Linked DNA regions of Alligator mississippiensis. The protein of the gene in region 2 purifies or fractionates together with the protein of the main gene of each other region. This does not show direct contact. Links are inferred from orthologs where the notes say so. Each region holds a gene or a part of one and is shown on either strand. Other genes may lie near its edges. The genes, in order: TUBD1, CCT2, PDCL3 and TXNDC9.

The links.
Region 1: the proteins of CCT2 (region 2) and TUBD1 purify together in Homo sapiens (co-immunoprecipitation; 3 studies listed by BioGRID and IntAct, with this or other methods). This does not show direct contact. The link is inferred for Alligator mississippiensis from reciprocal best matches to the Homo sapiens genes CCT2 and TUBD1.
Region 3: the proteins of CCT2 (region 2) and PDCL3 purify together in Homo sapiens (co-immunoprecipitation; 3 studies listed by BioGRID and IntAct, with this or other methods). This does not show direct contact. The link is inferred for Alligator mississippiensis from reciprocal best matches to the Homo sapiens genes CCT2 and PDCL3.
Region 4: the proteins of CCT2 (region 2) and TXNDC9 purify together in Homo sapiens (co-immunoprecipitation; 3 studies listed by BioGRID and IntAct, counting the BioPlex papers as one, with this or other methods). This does not show direct contact. The link is inferred for Alligator mississippiensis from reciprocal best matches to the Homo sapiens genes CCT2 and TXNDC9.

What each region holds. Positions count from the first base shown.
Region 1 is NC_081837.1:3,663,940-3,670,967, reverse strand, and holds the start of TUBD1 (tubulin delta chain), read left to right. Parts: upstream 1-4,016; 5' UTR 4,017-4,203; intron 4,204-6,860; 5' UTR 6,861-6,880; coding exon 6,881-7,028. Other genes in the region: RPS6KB1 (ribosomal protein S6 kinase beta-1), read right to left, coding at 3,660-3,731. UniProt on the Homo sapiens protein: Acts as a positive regulator of hedgehog signaling and regulates ciliary function.
Region 2 is NC_081827.1:69,974,009-69,981,042, forward strand, and holds the start of CCT2 (T-complex protein 1 subunit beta), read left to right. Parts: upstream 1-4,016; 5' UTR 4,017-4,157; coding exon 4,158-4,160; intron 4,161-5,066; coding exon 5,067-5,141; intron 5,142-5,898; coding exon 5,899-5,964; intron 5,965-6,072; coding exon 6,073-6,184; intron 6,185-6,439; coding exon 6,440-6,516; intron 6,517-7,034. UniProt on the Homo sapiens protein: Component of the chaperonin-containing T-complex (TRiC), a molecular chaperone complex that assists the folding of actin, tubulin and other proteins upon ATP hydrolysis.
Region 3 is NC_081824.1:344,239,394-344,247,252, forward strand, and holds the start of PDCL3 (phosducin-like protein 3), read left to right. Parts: upstream 1-4,849; 5' UTR 4,850-5,009; coding exon 5,010-5,015; intron 5,016-7,859. UniProt on the Homo sapiens protein: Acts as a chaperone for the angiogenic VEGF receptor KDR/VEGFR2, increasing its abundance by inhibiting its ubiquitination and degradation.
Region 4 is NC_081824.1:343,198,475-343,205,352, forward strand, and holds the start of TXNDC9 (thioredoxin domain-containing protein 9), read right to left. Parts: upstream 3,009-6,878; 5' UTR 2,896-3,008; intron 351-2,895; 5' UTR 321-350; coding exon 132-320; intron 1-131. Other genes in the region: EIF5B (eukaryotic translation initiation factor 5B), read left to right, coding at 6,418-6,452. UniProt on the Homo sapiens protein: Significantly diminishes the chaperonin TCP1 complex ATPase activity, thus negatively impacts protein folding, including that of actin or tubulin.

The DNA.
Region 1 (7,028 bases), on a different chromosome or scaffold from region 2:
TGCACAAGATGCACTAATAGATGCCAACGTTAATTATGAAGGTTCAGTCATTTTGATATAAAAAGGAACTATTTGCCCTAAAATATATAGTTGAGTTTTGAAAAGTTGATTTGTTTCTTTTCCTTCCCTCTTTTTTTTTTTTTTTTAGTTTCAATTTGCTTCATTATGAGAGGAAGGAAAATATTTTCCCCGTCTATGAAGGCAGCCTAAACAGTGAAAACACAGATTAGCCAGAGCGCCACAGTTATTGCAAACAATTCTCTGGGCAAGCTTTCCAGTACATTTTTGTATATATAGTTGTCCAATATCTAGTTAAAATATCCCCTTTAAAGAAATCAGCTTTTGGTAGAACCAAATGACTTGGGAAAGTGGGAACAGATCAAATGAATGACTTGTGAAATTTCATGGGAGCAAGGGGGGGAAGCCACACAGAAGCCTGAGAACTGCAGACTAAACTAAACAGTACTTTTTAAATTATTCCATAAGTGATCACCTAAGCCAAGGAAAAGTAGAAGCTCTAAGTAGTTTCCAAATCAGGTAAACACCCTGGTAAACAGAGAAAAGTCGATTTTGCAGGGAATGCACTGAGAGGGAATACAACTCCTGAACTCACAAAAATCACTAATTGTGGAGTCATGCTTTAAGTCAAGTGTATTTGCAGCTATTTGACAATTAGTGGGAAAAGCCCAGTTCATAGATGTCCACTTTATAAGAAAAAGCACTGCAATTAGCTCTATAATTACAAACCCAGAAAAAGGGGAAAGGATTGGCTGTTCATTGAGAATGAACTCCCTACTCCTCCTTAAAGGTTCTCTCCTTAAAACAGAGCTAATAACTCACTCATTCTTGCAAAGCTTGCACTCCTGTCGACTGTAACTGCTCTCATTCTATGAACAGATGCATTCATTTTCCAAGTCTTATTTTTACTTGCATCAAATTCACTTTTTAAAATAGATTTTTAAAAAAATCACACTGTTCATCCTGGAAGCTAGTCTGTAAATACATCATGCATCTTCCCTTCTCTTGTCATCTCATACAGACAAGAGTTTGAGAACCAATTGTGTCCCCCCTGGGTGGCTACTCTTTGGAAACTATTTCTTACATGCAAACTCTCCAGTCAAAAGGTCTCACGTTTCACTTCTGAGGATTGTCATGTCCGTATGCAACACCTGTAACTGCAGCTGTTCTTGCTGCTGCTGCCAGTACAGCTTTCAGGAGTAAAAATGCTCTATGTACAGGACTGTCTAGTTCACACTAGCTTTCTACCCAGCTCATTTCCAGGTTGGCGATTTTAAGTTTTCAGTTCTATGCATCTTTCTGTTCCCCCAAACCACACATTATGCTAACTGGAGGCAACTTTCAGTAAGATGCTACATTCACGCTCTTCTAGTGCTTGCTCCCTTTACTCCCCAGTGCATTCTCCACTTCAGAATTCGAGGAAAAATACAAAACCATTGTCACTCAGCTCCTGTTCTGCTCTTCTTTCCTTGCTGATTATTTTCAGCATTACCCAAACAGTGAGTGCGGGTATGTGTCATGAACTTGGGAGTCCCACAGAACTCTTAGTTTGTCCATCCTGTCTGAGAGCTGTTTGGGCCCTCACCACTACTGCCAACTGTGCGCTGCAAATATTCCTCCTGCACAAGCGATAGACTACAATCACAGCAGTCTACCAACTACTGTTTAATCCACTGAAGTTAATTCTTGCAGATTCTAGGGCAGGAATTTGTTCCCTCTCATGGCTCATCAAAATCTGTTTTGGTAACCCTCGGGGTGTGATGCAAGGGACATTTTTGCCAGGCATTTTATTGACTACTGATGTACAAGCCCAGGGTTTCTTCCCACAGACTGCAAGTTATGTTGCCTTCAGTGGACAAGCAAAATTGTGTCTTTTCTTAAAATCTCTTTAGAGCAAGGGTGTTCAACCCCTAGCCTGCAGAGCCATGCCATCTGGCCCACAGGGGTTCCCAGGGGTCCAAAACTTTGCCAGTGGGAGTGCAGTGGCACCAACTGTCACTCCCCTTCTGCCAATTTCCAGACCCCTGGAGAGCTTCATGCACTGCACAGCACACTGGATCAGTGCACAGAGGTGGCCTAGGGCCTGATCTGGGCACACTGGGGCCTGATGGAGGCGGTGTGGGGCTTCAATCTGGGGCTAAGCAGAGGCAGTGTGGAGCCTGATCTGGCTCATGGATGGGCCCCTTGCCACTCATCTGGCTCGTGGCCCCAAAAGATTGAGCACCACTGCGTTACAGCAACCAGAGGCAGTGATGGCCTCCAAATAATCCAAATGAATACTAGTAAGAAAAAGGTTTTACATCACACTGAAGACAGAAGATTGAGCTCAGCTTCCCGCAGGCTAAATACTAGGAGCTCAGAAAAAAAAGGCACTTTCACTAGTATATTGAAGAGACTGTACCCTTGGTTACTCTTCTGTACCTACTATTCCCTAGATTTGGAGGAGACTGGAAGCTCAGGGAAGACTGACTTCCCATGTGTAAACTTTCGACATGCGCAAGGAAATGTTTATTTCCTACATCAGACTGTTACAACAGTCTATTAACTAACTAACTAAATAAAAAAAATCAATCAATCAAATCTTCGAGCCAGAGTAAAATAGGTGCTTTATTCAACTTGACGGCACACAGCGGCAAAAAGATCATTATTGCTAAACAGCCAGACAGCCAGTAAGGACAGTAGGTCCTGCTACGTTATCAAGGCAGCAACCAAGTTTGGCACCTTGTAACTAGCAAGAAAAGCTTTAAAAAAAAATAAAAAAAAAATTAAAATGTATGCATATATTTAGCACATATGACGCCATTTGTCACAAAACCACACGGAGCGAGGGCGCAAAGAGTAAAACAGACTGAAGTTACATCCCTAGCTCCAAACCAGTCTGGGGGCACTGTCATGCGTAGTTACGTCTGCAAGTTTGTAGGTAGCCTCCCACCCCACGTGTTACAAACACGGGGGATGTTTGAAGACATCCGAATAGCACCTAGAAAAACCGACGAGGAGGGCACAGTTCCCTAACCCTCTCGTCGCCCCCCACCCCGCTTCTTTACATTTAGTTTTCCTAATTTCTACCTATTTTCACCCTCACGGACATCCTGTCGCACTTTTAGCCTCTCGCATCCCTTAGAGATCTGAGAAGAGCGGAGACTCCTGAAGAAGGGCGACTGCACCCAAAAGCTTGCAAACAACTCCCCCTCTCCCCACCCCCGACGACTCAACTGTCAACGACTGGGTCCAATGAACGGCACGCCGACTACTGCTACTCGGTGTAATAAAAGACAGCAGTGAAAGGTAACGATAATAATAATATTAGTATAACGATAACGATAATAAAGTCTAATCAAAGATATCGCATCTGCCCACAGCACTTCCACAAGTTTAAGCCTCCCCCGGCTCTGAGGTGTCCCCAAAACGGATCCCCTAGGCTGCTACCGCTGCATGGGACACCGCTCCGCATCATTTGGGCTCAAAACTTTAAAAAACCCAAAACAAAACACCCTCCTCCCCCCCCCAAAAAACATCCCGAGGTAAGGGCAGAGGGGGGAGGGTGATAATGCCAGGAGGATGCGAGGGCTGAGGTGCAGCAAGGTGTCGGCCCACCCCCCGCCATGGCCGCTCCCGTCCGGCCCGGCCCCGCGCCTCACCCCCTCCTCCAGCTCCTCGTCCGAGCCCGCGTCCTCGGGCTGGTCCAGGTCGATGTCGAACACGCCCGCCATGGCCGGGCCGCCGCCGCCGCCGCCGCCCCTCCCTGGCTGTGCTGAGTGCGCGGGGCCTGCTCCGCCTCATGGGCCCACGCCCCTCAGCGCCGCCGCCGCCATCGCCGGCTCCAGGCCTCAGCGCGGCTGCGCCCCCACCCCGAGCACGCGGCCCGCGCAGGCGCCCCACGCCGCCCGGACCCCGCAAGGCGCATGCGCCGAGCGCGCCCTGGCGCCGGGGGAGCCCCTGAGCATGCGCGCATTCCACCGGGTGCTGGCACAGAGCAGGCGCAGAGCGTTCCGTGAAGCCGCCACACGGGGCCGACCTGCCCTCAATCCCCTACCCCCTCCGGCCCAACGTGCGCTCTCTCGGAGCATGCGCAGAGCGGGGTGTTCAAAGGGACTTCAGGGCCTCCGGCGGTGGGCTGGAGTGTGTGAGGGGAGTCCGCGCATGCGCCCTGGGGGGGGCTCCTGTAGCAGTTGTGCTTCGAGGGTAGGTGCTGAGGGGATGGGGGGAGGGGTCATGGGGGGCCGAGGGGTTTGGAGGGGGGCCCTGCTCTGAGAGATTATGGGGTCCTGGGGGGCAGAGGAATGGGGCAGGTGCGGGGGAGGGGCTCTGAGGTGATGAGGGGTGCCAGCAGCCCTGTGCCTGGGGGTGATGGCGGGTGCCCAAGGGAGTCGAGCAGTGCAAGCCTGGGGCCTGGCGGCTCCGTGGGAAAGGACCTGGGGGTGACCGCGGACAGTATGCTGATTACGAGCCGAGCGCACGTTGTCCAGACGGCGAAGGGGGCTCGTCGTGAGCAGATCGAGGGACGTCGTGTATGCCCCTGTATTCGGCGCTGAGGAGGCCACGGCCAGAGTCCTGCGTCCGGTTTTGTGACCCCCCCCCAACCCCCCGCTACAGGAAGGATGTGGACAAGTTGGAGAGGGTCCAGTGAAAACGGTTGGGGGACTGGAGCACGTGACGTACGAAGAGAGGCCGAGGGAAATGGGCTGACTGAGTCTGCAGAAGAGAAGACCGAGGGGGACTGAAATCCCTGCCGGGCGCCGCACAGAGGAGGGAGCTGGGCTGTGCTGGGGGGGGGGCAGATGCCAGAACAAGGAGCAACGGGCTCACGTTGCAGCAAGGGAGGTTTAGGTTGGATATTAGGGAAAACTCTCCCCCTAGGCAGGGGGTGCAGCGCCGGGACAGGTTACCCAGAGGCGGCGGCCTCCCCGTTCTTGGAACCGCGATACAGGCCGGGTCTAGAGCCCGCTGGGTTACTGCTTGTACTTTTCGGTCGTGCTTTTTGTAATTCACTAAAGCAAAAGCCAGAGAGCAGAAAGAATTTTTCTTTATTCTCCACGTTAATTATTAGAGTCGACTGCAACCTTATCAAATGATATGTAGCAATATAAATGCTAATCCAGCTGGCTTCCTAGGAATTGTCATCCATGCTCCTGAGCAGCTGCTGTTCACGACAAAGTGCTGACTGCCAAAGTTTCCCTATAAGCAATTTGTTTTCAGTGCTCCTTAACTGGAGGCTGTCAACGCTGTGCAGCATTCCCTTCAGTCCTCTTTCCCATTGCAGAGAGTAATTCTGTTCCAAAGCTAAATGGGCAAAATCTGACTTTGTTTTAAGCCATATCTTAGCAGATTTAAGAGGAGGTAGAGATTAAAGAGACCAAACTGATCATGCCCTGCTCTACCTCACCCCTTACATGCTCAGCAAGAGAATATAATCATTCCTCTGCACCCTTGATAAAAGTATACACTGTTATATACCTGTATTGATACCTTGAGTAAGTATTAACTTAATATTTAGAAATGGGGAGACAATGAATCGTCCACGGGCAGTTGATTTAACAGTGATGAATGCTGAATGTGTGCATAATGATGCTTATTCTTTTGCCTTCTGTCAGTTTAGCTCTTTGTCATTGTTGTGCCTGTATTGCACATAAATTCTCAGTTATTTGAGGCTGGATCCTGGGATGTTTTAGATCTTTCAGAAGCAGGAGCCCGTTAACAGCTGTAGAGACAGGATTACTGGTGAAGTGATCACCAGGCAGGTCACATCAGGCATGTTTCAGCCCTGCTATTGAAAACAAAATGGAGAAAAAGATCTTGCTTCCCACAGTGGGGAATGTCAGGACTTAGCATCCACAATTAAACTTTTATTTCTAGAATTTCCTACTGTTGCTACCATCAATACAGTCCCATCAGGGGGAACATTATAATACAGCCTAGTTGGCAGCATTTTACATCTCATTTCATTTACTAGATTAGGTAACCCACTAGTTTACAATGCTTGTATCTACGTTAGTGCTTTTACAATTGTTAGCAACAACATAGCTGAACCAGTGGCCACAACAGTAGGAAACTCTGGAAAACCAGTCTGAAAACAGCATTGCAGGCAAATAATTTCCAAACTATCAGTCTGTTCTTCATGGGTCAGCAGAGATTTGCACATGTAACAAGTCAGGGTGGCGCTGTAGCATTAGTCAGTGTAGTTCACCAGGGGTGAACTTAGCCATTAAGTTCCAGTTAAGTTTAAAAAAAAAAAAAAAAAAAGCAGTCCAAGGTCCACCTGAGCCTAATTGCTACTAGCATAGTTAAGGCACGCCAAGTGCTGTAGCCATCAGTAAACATCTGGCCACCTTTCAAATCCTCACCCTGATGACTAAGTATCCATTTATAGCTGGGTCAACTGGGAGCAGTCTTTGGCACAAGCCCAGAGTAAGGATCAAACTCATCTCTCTCGAGCCATAGTGAGACACCTTAGCCACTCTGTCAGCACAGCCTGGGAAGATGGAGAGGCTCTTTGAAATGAGACTGCCTTCAGTACCACATAAAACTCAGGGAGGCTGATTTTGTTGGCTTGACTAGCAGTTGGTGGGAACAAAGTTTCCTGCCCAATCCTCACTGAAACACATCACTATCCCTGTGGGGATGGAACGTGATTGTTGACTGCAGCCTTCTCCAAGGAATTTCAGCTACTGGATCAACACAGTTACACAATTTAAGTAGTTTGGGAAAACCTCTAAACATAGGGTGAATTATATCTGAAAAATCAGTCTGTTCTCTACCCAGGTTACCGAACTGCTCAACAGCTGCCTACTCATGACTTGTTTTAGCCATAGCAAATAAAAGCATACCTCTCTTTTTTTTAGGATTAAATCCAAAGTGAAGAATGTCAGTAGTCACAGTGCAGCTTGGTCAGTGTGGTAATCAGATTGGCCATGAGGTGTTCAATGCTATCTGCAGCGATTTCCACAGTACACATGGGCTGTGCTCCAAGAAGGAGAATGAATCCTATCAGGAAGCTTGTAAAGAACGTT
Region 2 (7,034 bases):
AATAGATGTCACACGTTTATATTTTTATATATTTACAAAGGGCATTTTGAAATTTTTATTGCAGTTTTAATAATTATTTAGTATGGTAATATACATATATTGTGACAAAGTGTTCTGATATATCCATTACCTTGGTGTAATTCTATTTTATGTAGCAAATGTGTAAATACAAAGAAGATAATGTAAAAATATAATTAATAATTAGGTTCTGAGCCCTTCCAGGCAAGGATCGTCTTCCTATTTGTTTGTAAAGCACCTAACATGATGAGGCCCCAATCCTGTCTCATGTCCGAGTCCTACCATGATAGAAAAAATGCTGAAGAAGTAGAGCCAGATCCTCTGTTCTAGTTAAGAAGCCGGCATACCAAGGTGCCATGAAGCTCACCCCTCCACTTTCTGATCTGGAGGTCACTGTGTACATGGCTGTTTCGCAGACATGTTTCCCACACCATCTGCAAACAACCCAGAGGGCCCATAGCCGCAGAAGGGATATGTCCTCTTTCATTCCAGTTGCATACTTTGTTGGCAGGAGAGATGGGGTTATGTGGTTGGAATCTGTCTGTTAATAGACAGCTTTTGTACTGGGGCAATCTTCCAAGAGCTGAATATGCTTGGCTTGGCCCCAGTCCAATATCATTGAAGCCAAGGGGAAAGTACCTGTGACCATTTGGATCAGGTGCAAGATGAGATTTTGCTGGCAAAATGGTTGTGCTACGCTAGAGGACCTGGTTGGTCAAGTTCTTCAGAAATGGTCTAAAAAAAATGTAAAAAATATAAATATATTTAACTACATGTACTGAAAAACAAAAATTCCTATTAGTTGTGTTCAGAGTTTAGATTACTATGTGAATTCTGCTTTCTTAGTTATACTTGTGTGTATATTGCTGGAACTATTATGTATGAAAGAGGAAGTGATTCTAAAGAAATGGTTCAGGATTGCACCCATATTTTAATGTTTTTATTTAGGAATGGACATCAGCAACCTTAATTCCACATTAATGCAGTTTTTGCCTTGGAATATATGTGTATGTAGACATATGCTCACATTTTATATATTTGGTACTAACTTCGTATTTTCCCTGAAATTTGCTAAATCTTAAACACTGATGTTTTCATTTTTAAGACTTGGGTACTTAATGACTGAATGTATAGGAAATACTTCTGGTTTGAAAATGAAAATAGTATTATGGTATCCTGCAACTGTGTCCCCCAGCCAGCCAGCATGTTGCTGTTTCTTGCATGTAACATCTCCATTCCATTGTAATGTAACCTATGGCTGTTTTTTCTGAACCATTGTCTGTCCTAAACTAAACTACAGATTTGCAATTACAGTACAACTGAATACACTTCTAGTATGAAAGCTGACTGGTAGTTGTAGTACAGTAGCACCAGTGTGCCACAAATGCATTTATTAAATGCAGAAATATACATTTCTATACAGGCCAAAATCCTATGTTTTGTGTTTTTATTGTCATTACATTGTATGATATTGTAAGATTATTGTGTCCTAATTTGCATTATAAAATGTTGTTTTCCTACTTAAAGGCATAAATATAACAACTTTGTATAAAGGTAGCTTTCTAGATTTTTATTTCTTTTTATAAAAAAGTCTAAACAGTGGGAGTACCATTGCCAAATTGTTTATGAAATTTCCATGAACTTTGCCCTGCTGGATTTGTTATACAAACATTCCATTTTTTTCACAAAAAGTGATACCGTACTATGCAGAAATAATGTATTTTTATGCTGTTCCAAATTGACATATTAGAATTTAATTTAATCTTTGGTTTGCATTTTCATTATTGAGAGCTTACCAAATGTTCATTTTAAAAAAATGTATAATGTTAATATTGACAATGTTGTCCCCTTCATCAGTGCCAACTTCATTTTTTTTTTTTAAATTGTAGCATGGCAATAAAATATTGATTTTACATTTTGTGTGTGTGTGTGTGGATTACTTCTAATGTGAGGTGGGACTTACAATTTTTTATTAATATTACTGTGTTTTGCCTTTGGTGGGGGCTGAGGGAAGGGGAGAGACCAAAAGCTGTTCCAGTCTCTGGCACGCTATCACCTACGTTAGCCATTCTATAGTCACTCATTTTCTGCAACCTATTGCCTGAAAAATAAGCAGGCCTTAATAGCACCAGGCATAATTTCCAAATCTATTAATCTTTTTCATTGTGGTGTTCAGTTCTTTCACCTTCCTAATACACAGAAAGTTTTAACTCCCTGTGGGCATGCATGGAGAAAATTAGGAAGGCCAAGGCACAATTTGAGATGCAGCTGGCAAGGGACATAAGGCAAAGAAGGGGATTCTGTAGGTATCTCAAAAGTAAGAGGAAGCTGAGAGATTCCACAGGTCCCTGACAGAATGTGGAAGGCAATCTAGTCACAGATGATGCAGAGGAGGTTGAAGTATTTAATGCCTTTATTTTGCCCAAATAGGGGCAACTACCAGCTGGTGAGTGCAGTTGACAGTGATTATGGAAGGAGACAAATAGCTGAAAGTAATGGCAGACCAGGTTGGGGAATACTTAGAGAAGCTAGGTGTTTTCAAGTCAATAGGGCCGGATGGGATCCACCCAAGGGTACAGAAGGAATTGGCTGAGGTAAATTCAGAGTAATTGGCAATCCTTTTAGAAAACTTGTGGAGGTCAAGCAAGGTCCCTGATGATGACTGGAAAAGGACAAATATAGGGCCCATCTTTAAGGGGAAGAAGGATCCGGGGAACTAGAGACCACTCTGCCTGACCTCTATACCTGGAAAGAACATGGAGAAGGTTCTCAAGAAATTATCCATTGTGAAGTACCTGAAGAGAACAGAGTAATCAGGAACAGTTAGCATGGGTTCACTAAGAGCAAGTCATTCCCGACCAATCTTATTTCCTTCTGTGACAGGGTGACACGCTCTGTGCATAGGGGAGAGCAGTGAATATGATATACCTGAACTTTAGCAAGGCTTATGACATTCTCATTAACAAACTAAGGAAATACAGACTAGACACAAGTACTGTAAGGTGCATAAATAGCTGGTTGGATACTTGGCAAATAGTGCTCAATTTCTAGCTGAGAGGAGGTGTTAAGTGCGAGTCCTCAGAGGGTTATCCTGGGTCCAGTATTGTTCAACATCTTATTAATGATTTGGATGATGAGATCAAGTGCATGCTTAGCAAATTTGCAGATGACACCAAGGTGGGTAGAACTGCAGATACTCCAGAGAACAGGACTAGGATCCAGAATGACCTGGATAGACTGGGTAAATGGTTCACAGCTGTGAAAAAAACAAAAACCCAACAGCATCTTCAGTTGCATTAACAGGAAAGTCACTTGTAAACCATTGGGAGTGATCCTTCTGCCCTAGTCCAGACTGGTGAGGCCGCACTTAGGGTACTGTATGCAGTTTTGGGCCCGTCCAGAAGTGGCTGCTTTTTGGTGAGCGAGATCGGTCAGTGCAATCGGCCACCAGGGCCCCCCTCCTCACTGACTGGTGGCAGGGGGGGCATGTGCCCCCCGACTCAAAAAGCTCCAGTAACCCATGGGTCTGTTGCCTGAAAGTGAGGGGCAGGGCACAGGCATAGCATCTCCCCCTTACAATCGTATACCCCCTTTTTTCCCTCAGGTGTCCTCTTTTTTGAAACTGGAAATATGGTAACCCTACTACTGTGGAGCAGCCTTCCCTTCTCTCTGCCTCTCCTGCTGCAGCTCTGGCGGGAAGAGGGAAGCCTCCTTGGAGACGTTACAGCGAGGAGCCACGTTAATCGCAGGTGGAGCTGTAGCGCGGCCACACGTTCAGTCAGTTGCTGCTCGAGGAACGCGTCCAGACCGGGTTCGTTCCAGTCACGCCGTGAGTTGGCCTCGGGGAAGCAACACGGGTGCCAGCGTCTCAGCGGCAGTCTCCGCTCCCCAGGGCGGGGGCAAACGGAACACCGCCGCGAGCGCACACCAGCCAAACCGAAGGCGGAGCCCTCGACTCCCAGCATGCACCGCTCCCCAAGGCGCGTGCGCGCTGAGAGGCAGTGAGGGCGGCGAGCGGCCGGGCGGCCCAGCCTCTTCCGGCGGCTTACGAGCAACGCAACTTCTGGTGGCTCGCGAGGCGGCTCGTGGGGTCGGCTCGGTTGGAAGGCTTCACTCGCAGCGCTGCCGCCGCCGCCATCATGGTGAGTGTTGGGCGCGCCCGCGCGCAGGGGCCGGGGCCGGCTCGGCTCGGCTCGGCTCCTTGTGTCCGCGCCGCGTGGGTCTTTTTCAGCCCCGGCCGAGCTCCTGCGGCGGCGGCCTCGCCTCCCCCCTGGTCCGATAGCGGGGCGGGGCGGTCTGGAAGGTTCGAGGGTGGCGGGGTTCTCCCTCCCCCAGTCACGTGCCCACGATGGAGCGGGCGCTGGATGCCCGCGCGCCCCGGGACAGTAGCGCCTGTGGGGAGCGAGTGGTCGGGCCGGGCCGGGCCGGCGCCGCCGCCGCCTCAGGCCTCCAGAGAGGAACTGCAGAGATGAAGGAGTGGGTCCAGCGTGTTCCCCGAGTCCGAGCGGGTTTTACTTATGTTCTCTGGGCAATGCGGCGGGGTGCTGAGCGCCTGCCCGGCGACTCCCGACTCCAGTCTGCCCCCTTGAGTGGAGGTTATTGTCTCTAATTACAGCTTATTCCAGTTATTAAAAACACAATCAAACTATTAAAATGTAATCCAGCCCTGGCCAGAAAACACCCCTGCACTTCTGTGATTCAGCAGTAATGAGTTTATTACAGTTATTAAAAACATGAAATAAATTATTAAAATATATCCAACTGGACAGAAAGGATAGCTGCAGCCCTGTGATTCAGCAGTAAGGGGGAAGCTTTCCTTGTTGCTCATAAGGAAGTAGGGCTGGAAGGGACCTCACCAGGTGCAACCTAGTTCAGCCCCCTACTGGAGGCAGGCTCATCCCTTCCCAGCCAAGTGTCCAACCTGCTCTCAAGTTTTCCCAGATTGAGAATCCCGGTTTTGGTGGTAGCCATGTTTGCGAGGTGCGTTTTAAAAAAAAAACGCATTATATTAAAGCTGAATGCTGGATTTGTGACTGTTCTTGTTTCAGGCATCCCTTTCCCTTGCTCCAGTGAATATTTTCAAGGCAGGTGCAGATGAAGAAAAAGCAGAAACAGCTCGTTTGGTGAGTTAAATCATCTGTGAAACTGATAACATCTCGTATGCTTTCCTTACACCTTCTACATAACAAAAAAGGTTTCCTGGCAGTTCCTGCTATAAAACACTAGTATTGCTCATAACCAAAATGTATCAGTTAAGGCTGAAACTATTCTTGCTAGGTACTGCCTAACATTAACCTTCCAAAAAAGCCAAGTAAAAATGATCCAGGCATGCCTGAGAAGAAAATGAGAGAAATACTTTTCTTGTATTAATTAAAATCTTGCAACTGTTTTATTGAAAGGACTTGATGCTTGTCAGGGGGGCTTGGACTTCGGGATCATGCCTTTTGTTCCCATGGAAAAACGGCCACAATTTAGCTCAATTTGGAACTTTAAAAAAATATATAGTTTGTGATTCTTCATTAGACGCTTGCTAAATTGTAAAAACTACATTTTCTATGACTAGTAAGATTCCGCTTTTGCAGAGCGTTCTCTGTTTAGGGGGTTGAATAAGAACTCTACTAATTGTTGTCCCCAGTTGCCAAGGGCTCTGCTTGTCAGACATTGAGAATGGGAAGACAGTGAAGTATTCTTTTGGTTTCAGTGATCCCAATTCCTAGCAATCGATTGGTGAATTAAATGCAGGGGAGCCTGAGCTACACCCTACATACTAGATTGTGACTGTTATCTATGATATCTTCTCCAGTGAGTCTGAGATTCAGTTGATTGCTCAGAACAGAAATGATGATTCTTTCTCTGATAGCTTGTTCACTTTCATTTCAGTCCTCCTTTGTTGGTGCCATTGCTGTTGGAGATCTAGTTAAGAGCACCCTGGGGCCAAAGGGCATGGTAAGCTATTTGCAGGTTCTTAGAGACCATAACTGTTACTATTCCTTGCAGCTCTTGATGACACAAAGTACATTTTTCAAGTAGCTTCCTAAATCTTGCATCCTGTAGGACAAGATTCTCCTAAGTACTGGAAGAGATGGTGCAGTAACGGTAACCAATGATGGTGCAACCATCTTAAAAGCTATTGGAGTTGACAATCCAGCAGCCAAGGTCTTGGTTGGTGAGTTTTTAGCTAAATGTTCATCAGAGAAGTATTTTAAATACTTTTAAATATTTTTTTAAAGGATATTGCTTTTTGTTTATTCTTCTCTTTGCTTTCACTAAAAGCATGTTGGTGGTGCAATATTAGTTAATGCAGATAAGTGCTGCTCCAGGTAACAAGTATTCTGTATAAGCATGCGTAGTTCAAGTCTGTAATGAGTAGCAGGATACTAGAACCAATTAATTAATAGTGATGATTTTTTTTTCTCTTAAGATATTTCAAAGGTTCAAGATGATGAAGTTGGTGATGGAACTACGTCTGTAACTGTCTTGGCAGCAGAATTGCTACGGGTAATATACTGACAGTTCATGTTTTTAGTGCTGCTTTTAGCTCTGGTGTCTGAGTACTGTGGTATAGCAAATGCTAACACAACATGCAATTTGGTGTAAGCTTTAATGTACTGCCTACCTGTGGGCTTGCATGGATGAAACAACGGTCTCTCTTTGGGATGGGAGATGTACTGCTCACGAGTGCTGCTCAGCTGATTTATTGTAATTTTTGTTTCTGTAAATGGAGCTGAGAAACAGTAATTTATCTCTTAATGAAACTGGGGAGAGGGAAGTACCATGGGTAGATGAAACAATAATAGTGGATTCAGGCTAAACTGTGGTAAGTCTGCATAGTTTCCACCCCTGTGCCCAAATTGTGATAGAATAAAACCTCGAGAGCTGTCTTTATTACTAACGTTTAATTTTTTAAATTGTTTCATGTCTTATATTTTCAATTTTTTACAATTTTTATACTTACCTCTGTTTCTCCTGTTTTCTGTATCCAGATTATTTGCCAATGAATAGTTTTACCTTTTTGG
Region 3 (7,859 bases), on a different chromosome or scaffold from region 2:
GGTATTTAATAGAATAAAGCATGCAAATAGGAGTACCTTCAGTGGAGCAAATGGTATAAGAATACCTGTTTCCTGTGAGCAGGTTATCTTGGGTAATCCTGTTTACCGAGGGACTTGGCCAGGATATTTATTTTATTTCTTGAAGTGGATTTTCAGAGGATGGAGGTTCTCTCCATTTGCCATTCATAGGTTATGTTTCTTGACCAAATCAGAAAAGCTTTGATAGTGCTGCTGGCCTACAAAGTTGCCCAGTAAAGTTGGAAAGTTTGTTCCAGCGAGGGATGTTGTGATGCTGAACTAACTTGAAAACTGAAAGGGGGCCTGGGTTTGTTCTCTCTTATCAACTGAATTATTTCAGTGTTATACATTGGGAGTAAATCTGTATTGAGCAGCCTGTTGCCTTGCAGAGTACAATAGTGGTAGTGAAACAAAAGTGGGGACTTGAGTATAAAAAGAATGACTTCATAGTTTCATAGTAGCTAGGGTCAGGAGGGACCTGAACAGATCATCTAGCCTGATCCCCCTGCCACAGGCAGGAATGAAAGCTGGGTTCACAAGACCCCAGACAGGCGATCATCCAACCTCCTCTTGAATTTGCCCAAGGTAGGGGCAAGGACCACTTCCCTGGGAAGTTGGTTCCAGATTTTGGCCACCCTAACTGTAAAATATTGTCTTCTGATCTCTAACCTAAACCTATTCTCCATCAGCTTATTACCATTGTTCCTTGTCACCCTTGTTCCTTGTCGTGTGAGGAGCATCCTTGATGTGCCCTATCTTTAAATGGGGGATAAAATCAAAATAGCATTGCCAACATTACTGAGGTATGTTGTCTCGTCACTTAGACCAGGCCTCTTACAGTTACAAAATATGAAGTTGTACTATTTTTATGTATGTGTTACGATGTGATCTGTGGCAAGCCCCTGTATAAGCATCCACTTTGATATTGCATCAGAATTAGTCTAAATGTGTGCATGTAGACTGTGATGTAGGTTATAGCTGTGTTGGTCTAAGGACAACCTAGGCAGACAAGGTTCTTTGGGTAAATCTGATATCTTTTATTAGACCAAAGCAAATAGTTGGAACATTCTTCTTAGCAAGTTTTTTTGGGTATAAATACCCTTCATCAGGCTGAGGAAGCATCTGCAGTTGGTGTGTGCTCTTCCTGGATGGAATGAATAGTAAAGACTTACACTGGTTTTCCAAACTGGCATGGTTTCAGCATGTTGCCATGGCATAAGTCAACTTTGCCTAGCCTGAGTAAGCATGTGTGTTTTCTACCTGGTGTGAACTACAACTACTATCAGTGACTGACTGTTAATCTTCTTGCAGTATGTGGTTGGATTTTTCCCATGCATCTGCTTCAAGCGTTTAGCTTATCTGGAGGTGACCTGCTGGTGGGGGTAAGGTGTTACTTGCTAGACTCAATATGCAGCTCTTTAACGGAACAAATGAGTGGGGAAATGAAACCAAGGTAAAGAGCTACATTTTGGTGGGGGGGGGGGTTATTGCTTCCATTATTTATCTTCTCTCACTTCATAATCTATTTACTTTGTGATTACCCCTTGACAAAGACTTTTGTCTCCATCTCTCTCTGACAACCCACTAAACTCCAGGTAGACATAAGAGGATTATGTGGCCTAGCCCTTACAATTTTCTCTCGTCTGCCCCAGAAACTTTGTATGCTGTCTGTCTGCCAGGCTTCCAAGCAGCCTGTTGCACGAGATTGGCTTCAGTAAGATTATCTATTTTGTTTTGTCAGTAAATTGCACTTCATAGCTCCTATTACTAAGGACCCCTGGACCCAAGGCCAGAAAAGACAGTCAGGGGAGTGATGGCCAAGTTTATATTGTTCATATTAAAACAACCTTTTGGTCTATATAACTGAGGATTGGAGGAATGTGGCAGCTGCACAGTTCACATGTGGTTGTCACTAGGTGGGATATTTGGACCTAAAATTAAAGTGCCAGCTTTTTGAGAAATCCTTATCTCAAAAGCACTGTGCCCCAAACATCTATACAATATCCAAAATCAAATTTCTATTCTAACAGACCTCTTAGTGGGTTGGTGAGAAACAAATCTGCTGTTACTACTTAATTGTCCATGGATCTTAAGTACCAAATTGATAGGTATTGTACAATATCCTGGATGTATATAAAAAGCATAGGCTTTTAATAAGAAGGAAGAGTAGTGCTAGGATGCTTCCTAACAGTTCTGGGAGAAGGCAAAAAAGCTTCAACATGCCCAGAACTTAGTGTAGTATGTGTTTTCATATAATTTGATAAAAGAGAAATAATGTCATTTATTGAAATGCAAAGTTTTAGTTTGGAACTATTATTCCAAAATGTTTTTTTCAAAGTAAATGTTGCCAGGTGCTAGTCTTAATGAGTTTCAACACATCAAAGATCTGTTAGCAGTGAACAGATGCAGGATTGCTAACATGCCTGTTTATTTGTTTATTTTATTGTGATAGTCTTGGGCTCTAGTCAGTAGTAGCACCTCATTTTGTTAAGTACATCAAACATAACAAAAACAGTCCCTTCCCCTGAGGTCTTACAATCTAAGCCTTCAGTCTTGTAAACTTTTACTTAATTTTACTCCTAATTAAGTTAATATAATCAGATGCCCCATACTCACTCAACCAGGTGTGTGGAGAATATCTGTACCTATGAATAGTTCTAGGATGGCAACATTTCCAAAAGTGCTTGCAGAAATGGTACCTTAGCCTGAAACTAACTTAGTCTCACTCATCTAAGTCTTTGTCTGGCAACCCAAGAAAATAGCCGAATCCCACTTATGTAAATAAAGTGCTGGGACTTTCTTTCATTTCTTTATATAGCTGTTATGAGAAGAAACAACAGCAGGGGAGAAAAAAGAATAACTAAAATCTATGCAATTGCAGCCCTTGATTAATTTGGAATATTCTTGTCATTTTAGACTGGAAAATTTTAGTTAACCATATATTCTTAGCCTTTCCATAAGATTTGTTTTTTTCCCCTTTAAGATAAAAAGGCTAAGAGTCTCAGTGTTTCATAACATGTTGAATTTCTGTGGGTTTTGTTTTTTATTTGTTGAGGTTGGATTATGTTGCACCATCTTTTTTGTGTAGTAAATACACACTGGCCCCAAGCCTGCCAAGTTTTATGCCCTACTGAAGTTTATGCATGAAAGAAGTCCTACTGTTGCTAATGGGTTAACCATGTAGCATAGAATTTAAGAAGGTGTGTATATCTATATCTATCTAAAAGTCTACATCTACAAGTGCATAAAGTAGTAGTTGAACTTAAGAATCACTCTAGACCAGAGGTTCCTAAACTTTTTCTTATTATGTACCCCCTTCCAGATTTACCAGCTGCCCATGTTCCCATTCCAGCATATATTTTATATTTTAACTCCTTAGATGCAAATTATTATAATGAAAATTAAATCTGTCATTACACAATTTCTCCTGCGTACCCCCCTCCCCCACCAGAGATGTCTTGCATACTGCCAGGACTATGTATCCCACAGTTTCGGGAACCTCCTCTAGATGATGGTATTTAGACCCTGACTTCTGAGACATTAAGTGATTCTTCACCTTTATTACCTATAGCTCTTTAAAAAAATCCACAGGGAGGTAGCAGGTGCCTAGAGAAGAGGTACACAGTCTTGGTGGATATTAACTAATGTAGTGTAGCTATTTCCTACCCGCTTCCCTGCCCTCATTTTGAGCAGTGCACCCTTGAGGGAGTGTACATGTGGTAGTTCCCTTGAGAGGGGGCAGGAGATTCATAGATTGAAAGGGACCTTGGAAGAGCATCGGGTTCAGCCCCCTGCCCCAGGCAGGAAAGATAACTGGGGGTCAGGCGACCCCAGCAAGGTGACCTTCCAGTCTCTTCTTGAAGATTTCCAGGGTAGGTGATTGCACCACCTCTGAAGGGAGCTTATTCCACAGTCTGGCCACCCTGAGCGAAGTTTTTTCTAATGTTGAGCCTGAAATAGCCTTCTGGAAATTTGGCCATTACTCTTGGTTGCCCCTAAGGGTGCCCTGGTAACAGTTGTTCACTGAGCCCCTGATGTAGTGGTAGACTGTTAGCAAATCCCCTCTCATCTCTTTTTCAGGCTGAAGAGTCCCAGATCCCTCAGCCTTTCCTCGTATGGCTTGCTGTGCAAGTCTCTGATCATACAGGTGGCTCTTCTCTGGACTCTGTCAAACTTGTCCATGTCCTTGTTAAAGTGCAATGCCCAGAACTGGATGCAGTACTCCAGCTGCAGTCTCACCAGTGCTGAGTAGAGCAGAAGAATCACCTCCTTGGTTTTGCTAGAGATGCATCAGTTGATGCATGCCGGAGTATTGTTTTCCCTGCTGGCTACAGCATCGCACTGCCAGCTTATGTTCATACTATGGTGTATTATGAGCCCTGGGTCTTCTTCATTCATAGTGCTGGTCGGGTTGGCATTGCCAATTCCCTTGAGGGAGGGTGGTGTGTGTGGGTTTGAGAAAGTTTACTTGGGGGGGGGGGTGAGACACACACACACACACACACACACACTCTCTCTCTCTCTCTCTTCCTCAAGGGTGTGTGTATGTGACAAAAAGACAGTTTCCTTGAGGGGAGGGGGGTGTGAGTATCACACACACATCCTGAGGGTGTGTTTGTGATAGGAGACATATAGTTTCCTCGAGGGGAGGGGCGTGTGTGTGTGACAGTCCCCAGGGTGGAGGTGTGAAACAATTCCCTCCGGAGCCCAGCGCAAGGCGCGGGTAGCGCAGCGCAACTGTGCGGTAACCCCGCCGCCGGGCAGCCCTCGCTGCTCGCCTGCGCCTGCGCCACCGCCTCCCTCGGTCTTTCGTAGCGTGCGGCCAGGCAGAGCAGCGGCCCCAGCCCTTATAAGGCGAAGGAGGAAGCGGGTGCGGCGCTGTGACACGCTATCCGGCCCGGGGAGTAGGCCGCCGCCGCTGCTGCTGCCGCCCTCTCCGCGTGCGTGTCCCGGGCGGCGATCGCCGGCGGCCGGAGCCCGCTGCGGACACTATGCAGGTGAGCGCGGGCCCTGCGCGCTGCACGGCCCCCCGGGGCCCCGGCTCCCCGCGCCCGGCCGCCTCCCTGCCGCGCGCAGGGGCAAGGGGGAGCCAAGCCAATGGGGGAGGGAGAGGAAATCCACCCACCCACGGTCTCTGATCCTTGTCACCAGGGCCCAGTCTCAGCCCCACCGCCGCAGCCAGCCCGGGTTTGTTGCAGTGGTGCCGGGTGTCCGACCACTCGGATTTGTGCGATCATTTCAACCCTTGCCAGATGCGCGATCTGTAAGAGAAGAAGTGTTCAAAATATAGGATAATGTTGGAGGCAGCTCATTGATGCAGAACCCGGGTCATTCCTGGGAGTTTTAACTGACTCTGGGGCACTGTCTTGTGCCCGCTTGCCTTGAAATAAAGTAATGCTTCAACTTTGACTCACTTCTTCCTCACTCACTAGCGAGTTATAACGAGCAATATAAAGTAAATAAGAAGTCTTCGTTGCCGACTTTTTCAGGGCACGATAGTTTTTCAGCGAATACGATCATTTTGAGCTTCCAACACAATACTTTCATATTTAAGACCTGGTAATGCTGCTTTGTTGCCCTTTCTCTGTTGTTGTTTTTTTCCAGGCCTGCCAACACATAGCTTTCGCTGCCCATGGTTCTCCACCAGGGTTGCCCCCCCAGGTCCTTTCCAGGGTCTCGTCAGGCCCCGTTGGCGTGAGTGGCAGGATAAGCCTGGGGTATCCCTATTGGTACCTGTAGTGTCACAGCCATTCAGCCCTGCTGGGGTCCATCGGAGGGCCTCATTTCACTTACGCTGGGAGCCGCACTAATGTTGATCAGTGTTATAGTAGCTTGGGTTTTTGGAGCAGTCGCACCCTCGATCTAGAAACCACCTCCTGAGTGGCTCCTGCCTGCACAGCTATGACGGGGAGCTGTAGCTGTGAGCTGCCACTGGAGGGCTGGTGAACCAGGACAGGTTCCTGTCCACACTTTACAGGCAGGGGTTTGAGAGATCCTGGAGGACTTGATTTTGGGCAGCACATCTGTGGAGAGCAGGCACACCTAAATGGAACAGGAGCTGGGTAGTGCAGAGGAAAGAGAATCCTGCCCTGGAGTGGTATAACTCTGGACCACATAACAAGGGTTTAAAACCACTTCAAGGTGTTAATGTGCGGACAACCCAGGGTTTAAGAGCTCTAGGAGGAGCCTATCATTACCATGTAACAAGGCCCTCTGATTCTTGTCACCAGGGCCCAATCTCAGCCCCACCTTGACCGCCAGCCTGGCTTTGTTGTCTTGTCCCTGGTTTTTATTCCAGAACTGCTGTACTTAACGCTCGCTGCTCTTGGTTCTCCGCCAAGGTGCGTTGAGATCCTTTGAAAAGTCTTGTCAGCCCTGGTCAGCATGAGTCGCGAAAAGTCCAGGGCTTTGCTATAGATACCCATAGCATCGTGGCCATTCAGTCCTGCTAGGGTCTTTCTGAGTTCTTTGCAGCTAAAGACCAGCTCTGCTGTTCTCCTAATTTCAAAAGACAGGTGAAAGGCAAGAGCTGGCATTTGCTGAGGGGAGGGGGTTGGAGTCTGAAAGGATTGAAAGCTGCTACCCTAGGAGGAGAGAGAAGGAAACCAAACTTGCAGACTTCTGCACCTCTGGCAAAGATGGCTCTGCTGACGCTCAGATCTGTACAGTCCCTACAAATGTTCCCTGAGCACCTGCACTGTCTTCAGTGTGGTCTGTAAAGAGCCTACCAGCCCTTCCATGATAGCAGGCTTGCAACATAACTGGCTGAGGAGAAGAGTGGAGTGTCTCTAAGATCTCTAATGAATTTTGCCAAGTTTAGAAGAAACTAAAGAACGTGGTTCAGTTTTCCCAGTCAGCAGCCTTAGAAATATGCCCAAAGCTTTGCAAGTCTTCTTGGAAAGTTTCTGTTTTGTGTATCATCCATGCAACTTTTGCTGGCCAGTTTCTGCCTTTAGTTGTGCACTCACAGAATTTGACCTTGCAATAACAGGAGCTTTGCAGTTTTGTTGGTGACATGAGCTGGAGAGATGAAGCTAGCCCTGGCCTTCTGCAGACTTGTTGGCTATGCAGCTATGGCTCCTTTGATTAGTAGAGTTTTATTAAAGCAGATATTTTGTGAGTTGGACTTCTCTTCAGCTTTCCAATGTCTTACGCGTATCTGAGAAAAAGCTATAAAACAATATTCAATATTATCCAATGGCACCTTTTTGTTTGAAAACAGTATTTTTTTTTTCCAAGTTAGTTTGTATTTCCATTGGGGTATCAAAAGGAGCTGTTGAATCATTTAGCCCTCTATCTAAGTGTTAAGTTTTTTGATCATCTCCTTCCTAGGCATCATCTATTTCTACTGCATCGGACAAGAACCTGTGGAATTTTAGATTCCTTATGTTCAGTCACACCAGCTTAGTTTAAGCTATATACTTATAAAACAGTGCAAAATTCAATGTAGATATTCTTATTTTGGTGTAGAAGCAGTTTATCTGGGATTTTTTTCAAGTTGACTGCATACTGACTTGGGTGAAATCATAATAAAGGTTCTTACTACATTATTGCACTGATTTAAAAAAATGTTTTAAATTGATTTTTTTTTTTTTTAAATAGGTTGCTGAGAGTTTCTTGAATGGATCTAGGCCCAGATCCTTAGGAGTATTTAGGTGCCTCTGGGCTTTTAATTTGTATTAAAATTTATAATAATTGTATCACAACAATTTTTAATGATAAATGTACCAACTGGTTATAGGTTAGCCTGCTTTTGACTGGATTTCCTGATGAGGACTTGCAGACAGTTTTCCATGCCTAGCTTCAGGTACATGAATAGTTTCACCAACTTGTGTTTGCTA
Region 4 (6,878 bases), on a different chromosome or scaffold from region 2:
TTTTGTCAGATGCCAACAGGGCAAATTTATAGCTCCTCAAGATTTTCAAAACGAGCGGCATCACTACAAGGTCAGCAAAGATTACTGCTAAACATGAGGTCAGAATTTAACAATGCTGGAGAAAATATTACTTGTTTCTGCTGCTGGGCTTTCTTCAGAGCTTCAAGTCTCCTTTGTTTAACATGTTCCAAATCATCTTCATCCATTTGGTCCAATTTCTGGATCTCAGCATCCAGCTCTTCTTCCACTATCTTGGTAGTCTGAAGCATCTGATTCTCCAGAACTTTTTGAAACATTTCAACAGAAGGGTTGGTATCCATTTTTCAGGATAGACAATAAACTTCTTACAGCTATGAAAACACAAGTCATGAAATTAGAATTAAACAACACATAATAACACCCAAATAATTAGGGGTGCACTGATAGAGATTTTGGGGGCTGATATTTACGGAGGCATATCGGCTGATACTGATTCAATTTCCAATACAGCTTCCTCCAGTTGGTAAGTCCAGTGTGGTGGAAGGGGAATGGGGAAGGAAGGGGCATGGGGGGGGGCAAATCAACACCCCCCCTGCAGTGAGGGAGGGGCCAGGAGCAGGCACTGCCGGGGGGTGCAAGGGGGGGGGGTGCGGGGCCTGGAGCTGCAGCTCACAGGGAGGGAGGTGGTTCCTGCTGCTGCTTGCATGTGCCCCTCAAATCTGCACGGGTCAGGGCAGGCTGCAGCCAGGGGTGCGCAGGGCTTTTCTCAGCGGGGGCTGGATTTGGAATGGGTGCCAGTGGTGCTGGGAGGATGCTGCATCCACCCCAAATTTCACTGCCGCTCTACTCCCAGCACCGCCAGCCTCCCAGCACAGCCACAGATCAATGCCCTGCCTCCACCCATGTGCTGGGAAGAGCTGGGCTTGGCGCCAGGCAGCTGGTGGTGGCAGTGCTGGGAGCAGAGCAGCAGTGAAATCTGGGGTGGATGCAGCATCTTCCAAATGCGGCGGCACCCGCTCCAAGCCCAGCATCCATCGACAAGAGCCCGGCGAAGTCCTGGCTGCAGCCTGCCCCATCCCCATCCGGCGGGCACATGTGCCCCCTGTGCCCTTCGGGAGTACAAAGAGCAGCAGGTTCTCTCCCCCTCCTCAGGCAGTGCCTGCCCCTGCCTCTTCCCTCACCACAGAGGTGGGGTTGATTTGCCCCCCCCATGCCCCTTCCCTCCCTCCTCCCTTTCCATCACACTGGACTTACCAGCTGGAGGCAGCTCTCCATGCTGCCAGGCTGTGCCCCTTGCTGCCTGCGCTGCACTGCGGCAGCACACAGCACGGGCATTTATCGGCCAAATTCTCGGCTCCATCAGGCCGATATCTGATACAGCCAGTTTGATCCGATATCGGACTGATGTATCAGTGCACCTCTACAAATAACAATACCAAATAATAAGCCATTTGTTAAAATTTTGATCAGGCCCATTTCTTGCTGCCCTACACTCTACAGGACAGCAGTTCTGAACCATTTTAGACTCCAAACACCCTTTGTCAGACTCAAGACTTCCCCTCAGAAAATGCCAAGTCTTCGTTTTAATTTTCTTTACTCAAAAGACAAGTTACCAGAGCAAGTCTTTTACTGCAAAGAACTTGAAAAGACCACAGTAGGTCAGGATGTTTTTAACACTGTGAATTCCCATTTGAAATCTCTGAGTCTGTCTTGTGAGTCATGTTTGCAAACCTAGCTGTACTAAGAATATCTCAAAACACCCCAAGATGCCACGGCTCCCTGGTTGAGAATCACTGCTTTAGAGAAACAAAGCAAAAACAGCCTTTACTATTGGATTAGGAACTCATATGCAAAAAGTGATATCTTTCAGGATGACATGCAACTCTGTAAACATGAGCCTTGCAAACAGGGGCAATGATGAATCCAGTCACAGCTGATTTTCTCAGTCCCTGGCTCAGCTGTTGAAACAAGACATCCAGCCTAGTGGAGAAGGAACAGTTCCTTTGCCTTTTCAGCAGGAAGAAACTGAAATAACCTGTTTCAAAGAAAAATTTATCCTGAGCCAGGAGACCTGCATGAACTAAAAGTGCTCTGAGGAGCTGTCAATGTGGAACAGGCTCTGAGTTTCATGAAGGCTAGATGAGACTTTCCAGGAAGAGTCAAAGAAAACGAAGTTTTCCAGCTCGAGCCAGGAAAAGGAAGGAGGAAGAGCTCACTGCTCCGAAGAGACAGCAAGGCGCAATGTTTTTATCACAGGCAGGCAAGGCTCTTTCGGTAGATGTGATATCTTTTAAAGATATCATACCTAACCAAGGAACCTTGCCTGCCTGTGATAAAAACACTGCACCTCGCCATCTCCAAAGGACCTTTCCTACCTATGCCCTTAGACCAACATAGCTACAACCAACACCCGTGGCAGGGAGGAAGCCGAGCACCAGGTGTGCACACCAGAGCCCACATTTACATCCCTGCCAGTTCTACCAAACAGTGTGGTCTGTAGCTTTGGAAACACAGCTGGCCCTGAGTGTGCCCACCAGGCGCAGGCCTACACATTAACGGTGGCAGCTCAGGGTCGAGAGCTAGACTCCGAGGAAAATGGGGCCTCGAAAGTCTCCAAACCAGGGGTGTCAAAGGCAGCCAGGCACCTGGTCCCCGGGCCGGATCCGACCCAAGCGGGGCGCAGCCTCATGGGGCGCATGCGCAGTGCAGGAGGCGGCTGGGGAAGGGGCACACGGGCCTCTCCCGACCTGGGCAGCGCGAGCGCGCTACTACGCATGCGAAGCGAGACCGTTACACCCCCCGCCAGCCCGGCCGCACGCAGCCTGACTCCACAGGCGCCCCAAGAGGGGGAGGCGGCGGCGCTGGCGCAGGAGACCACCTGACACCCTTGCGGCCGTTGCCCCCCGTGCCGCTTACCCGGTCCGCGCGCCGCCCCGAGAGTCCTACGCCAGCCGCACTCCCAGCTCCACACCAGCGTAGCAAAAGCGAGTAACAACACAAGGAGGCGGGTGGGGCTAGGTCCCAGTATCGGCCTCTCTCATTGGCTGTCGCGTGTGGTTACGTGAAGGTGCGCATGCGCCTCACGGCAAGGCCCCTAGACAGGCGGGCAGCGCTCCCCACTCCTCGGTTGTCAGCTGAGGCCTTCGTGACGTCACTGAGCTCCGACATGCATTGCGCCTCCCGCCTACATTTCCCAAGACCCTTTACTCCCCCCTGACCCTGCTGTTTCTGGCGTGCGCTGCGGCCGCCCGACGTGCTGTCTTATACTGCGGCCCAGCCGCTACGGGGAGCCCCGGCCCGGACCCAGGCTCTAGAGCGGGCGGTTAAGCGGCTCCGTGGTGCCAGATGTACGTTAATTATGCTGTTTCTACGATAATTTCAGCCCTTGCTCCATGTACAGTCAATTACAGGAGACGTATTCAAAATGCATGGGGAGGTACGAGGTAGTCGTCTTGGTCTGAGACCAAAAGAAATGCAAAAATCTAGAACTCTTGGTTCAAAAGCACTACCTTTTATTAGACCAACTGAATAATTGCGAAAAAAAATATCTTTTTTCTGCGAGCTTTCAGGCTTACGCGCCCATTGTCAGGCTCAGGGAAAGTTCAAGATGGTAAAACATCCCCATATGTAGGAATTAAACTTCATTTTTGCACAGAGGAAACAGAAGCTGGAAGCCTGTCCCTCTGGCTCCATGAGAGTGTCTTTGTGAGGTTGCTCTTTGTTGTGCAGATCAAACAGGATTTCTTCCCTGGTGGTGTCATGGTGGGTGGGGAAGGTATCAAAAAATGTCCTTGTTGCTCAGCAATGTAGTTTATCATCCAAAATCGGCTAAAATTTGGCATCTTCCACATTTCAGGGATGAATTTATCTTCAAGAAAATGGGATGGGACTGGGCCAGACTCCCTTTTCCCTGCGTAATGAGGTTGGGGCTGGGCCATGCCCCTTCTCCCTGTGTGGCTGGATGGGAGCCAAGGTGCTCCCCACCCCACTGCACGTGGCCAGATGGGGCCGTGTCGCACCCACCCCAGGCGATGGGTTTGGACCACAGACTGGGTCCAGACCACAGAGGGTCTGGGCTTGCCAGGGGATAAGGTTGAGTGCCACTGTCTTGGAACATAAAAACTGCCATTTACTGGGTCCGACCATAGCTCCATCTTGTCCAGTCCCAGCTTGGTGAGAAGATGTGTGAAGATGTCTGGTTGTGGAAATGGGGGCAAGGGGCTGGGGAAAGGAGGTGCTAAGTGGCACCACAAAGTGCTGCATGACAACATCCAGGGCATCACCAAGCCCTGGATCCATTGCCTGGCCTGCTGAGGGGGCATGAAGCACATCTCAGGGCTTATTTATGGGGAACCTGGAAGGGTGCTGAAGGTTTTCATAGATTTCATAGACCTTAGGGCTGGAAGGGATCTTGAAGATCATCAAGTCCAGCCCCCTGCCTCAGGGGCAGGAAGTTTTTCCTGGAAAACGTCATGTGTGATGCCAACACATACACTGAACAGACCAAGAGGAAGACTGACTGCCACGGACATAGTGTATATCCTGAAGCATGGGGGCTACACCATGTATGGAGTTGGCGGCTAAGCCTCTTAGAAGAAAGCTAGAATTGCTGTTCAACCCAAAGGCCTGTGTCACGTAGTGGCAGAGTAGATGCTGAAAGGGAGAGTGAGTTGGGTGTGCCCAGGGTTTTTTGCATGGTTCCTCTCCCACTTGCAGCCTTCCGCATTTAAGGAAGGGGTGGGCAAAATGATGGATCTGGCTGGTTGCTGGACTCAATTTCCCAGCAGCCCCTGCCTACATCTCTGTGGCCAGTTTCCATGGAGACCCCAGGAGCCCTGATAGTGTGGGGCTAGGGTTTCCACAATATCGCTGGCAGGGTGCACAGCAGGGCAGGGAGCTGCTCTGGGGCTATGGCTGGGATCTTGCAGTGGTGCCAGCATGGCGCACCGGGGTTTGCGGGCAGCAGTTTGCAGCTCAGCCCCAGCTCTGGAGCACGTTGTCACAGCCACAAGATCCTGGCCTCTGCCACCTGCAGGCGGTTACCGTACCCCCCCACACCCAGCCTCTGGGGGCAAGTGGTGTTCATGGGTCAGGGATTGCTGGGAAATGGAGTCTGCTGCAGGGCCGATCTGGCCCATAGGCCAGCCTTTGCCTGCCCCTGATTTAAGGTCTAACAAGTTCTGATTCGGAGGCTGTGTCCTTAACTGTCATGCCCAGTACCTCCCGATGTTCCTTTCTCTCCAAGAATTTTCCCAATTCCTTTTTCTTTTATTTTGTGTCTCAGGCCAAATTAGCCAAAGCCGAATCAGTTCTGAATTCTGTCTACTGAGCAGAGCTTAATCATTCAAGTCCACGTGATGCTACCAGTGGCAAGTATCCTCCCTCCCAGACTTCAGCCTGGGGCTTCAGGTACGCCCAAATCCATGGCAGGCATCCTATGTGCAAGCCCCAAACCCAGAGGCCTTGGGGTTCAGATGCCCCCTAGTCTCACTTGTCCCTAGCCAAAAGACTGTCAGAGCAAGCTAGAGGGAGAGCCTGTGAGCAATCCCCCATCACCATAAATTGTGTAGCCAGAGGGAGACTGGATGATGGTATGCCCCCAAATTGGCCAGTCTCTTTGACCACAAGCAGCTGGTGTCTGTGGTACTGAAATACAGAGCTATTTTTTCTGGTGGTGTTAAGCAGCCAGCTTAAAAATAATGGCAAGTTTGTCCCTGCGATCCAGGACTCTCATTACTGTTTTCTACTTTGCTAGCATAAAAAATGGCTTATCTTCACCCTGCCACTGTGTGTGTTGGGGGAGTGGGGGGGGGGGGGGGGCGTTGTCTGCATGTTTGTGCGTGTCTCTGTGTCTGTGTGGCATGCACCTACTGGTGTGGGGGAAGAGTGTCCTCTTTTTTGAACCTGGACATACGGTAACCCTACGCAGACAGAGAGAGGGGGAGAGAGCTTTTTCCCTATGGCTGTGCTGGGAGGCCTAAGGAGGTGCCGGCTGACCCACTGGACCTTTCTTGGGCACCTGGGCTAAGGAGATTTTCCAGGTGGCCTTGGTGTTTTTCCTGCTTTTCCCCCGCTCACTAAATGGAGCCCGTACAGAGTCGGGCTCGTGTCCTATTTTGTCAAGAATGAGCGACACCAGCCCACCCCGTCTCTGGTCCGGGGCGCCGTCGAGGTCCCCAGGCGGGGCAGGCCGGCGGCGCGGCCTTACTGCTGTTCCCCCGCCGGCCGCAAGGGGCGCGGGCGGCTGCACTGAGCTGCCGGGGGAGTGTCCCTCCTACGCCCGGGTCTCGCGCACTCGGCGAGCCGGGTCATGGAGTTACGGCGCCTGCGCAGTGGAGGTTTCGTACCATATGCGCTGGGTTGCGTGCGGATGTGGTCGGCCGGAGCCTGCTGAGGCGGACGCGGAGGGACGATCCCACAGCGCCCGCAGCCGCCGCCATGGGCAAGAAGCAGAAGGGCAAGAGCGAGGACAGGTAGCGCGGGGGGCAGCTGTATCCGCGGTGACGTCACCCTCGCGCGGGGGGGTCCGCGGGGCAGAACCTGGAGCTGTGACGTAGCGTTCCACGGAGGTGTCTCAGCGTTCCAAGGGGGGGGTCTCGGCGTTCTGCCCCGGGCGGGCGGGGGCGGAGTTCTGTGCCGCAGGAGCGGGGCTCGGGCGGGCATTTCCCGGGGGGGTTTGCGTGGAAGCAGGCTGAGAGCCGCTGGCCTGATACCTCTGCCTCGGATGCTGGAGAACAGAGCTGAGGAAACCCTGAGGGCTCGTTGCAAAGTGTGTGCTGTGATGAGGGAGGTGGGGAGGGTCCTTCTCTGAGTAGGGGTGGGACTAGATGCCCACACTCCTCCTTTCTGTGATTCAGTGTGGCTGTATGTGCTGGGAGAGAGCTTGAGGGCCTCAGGGA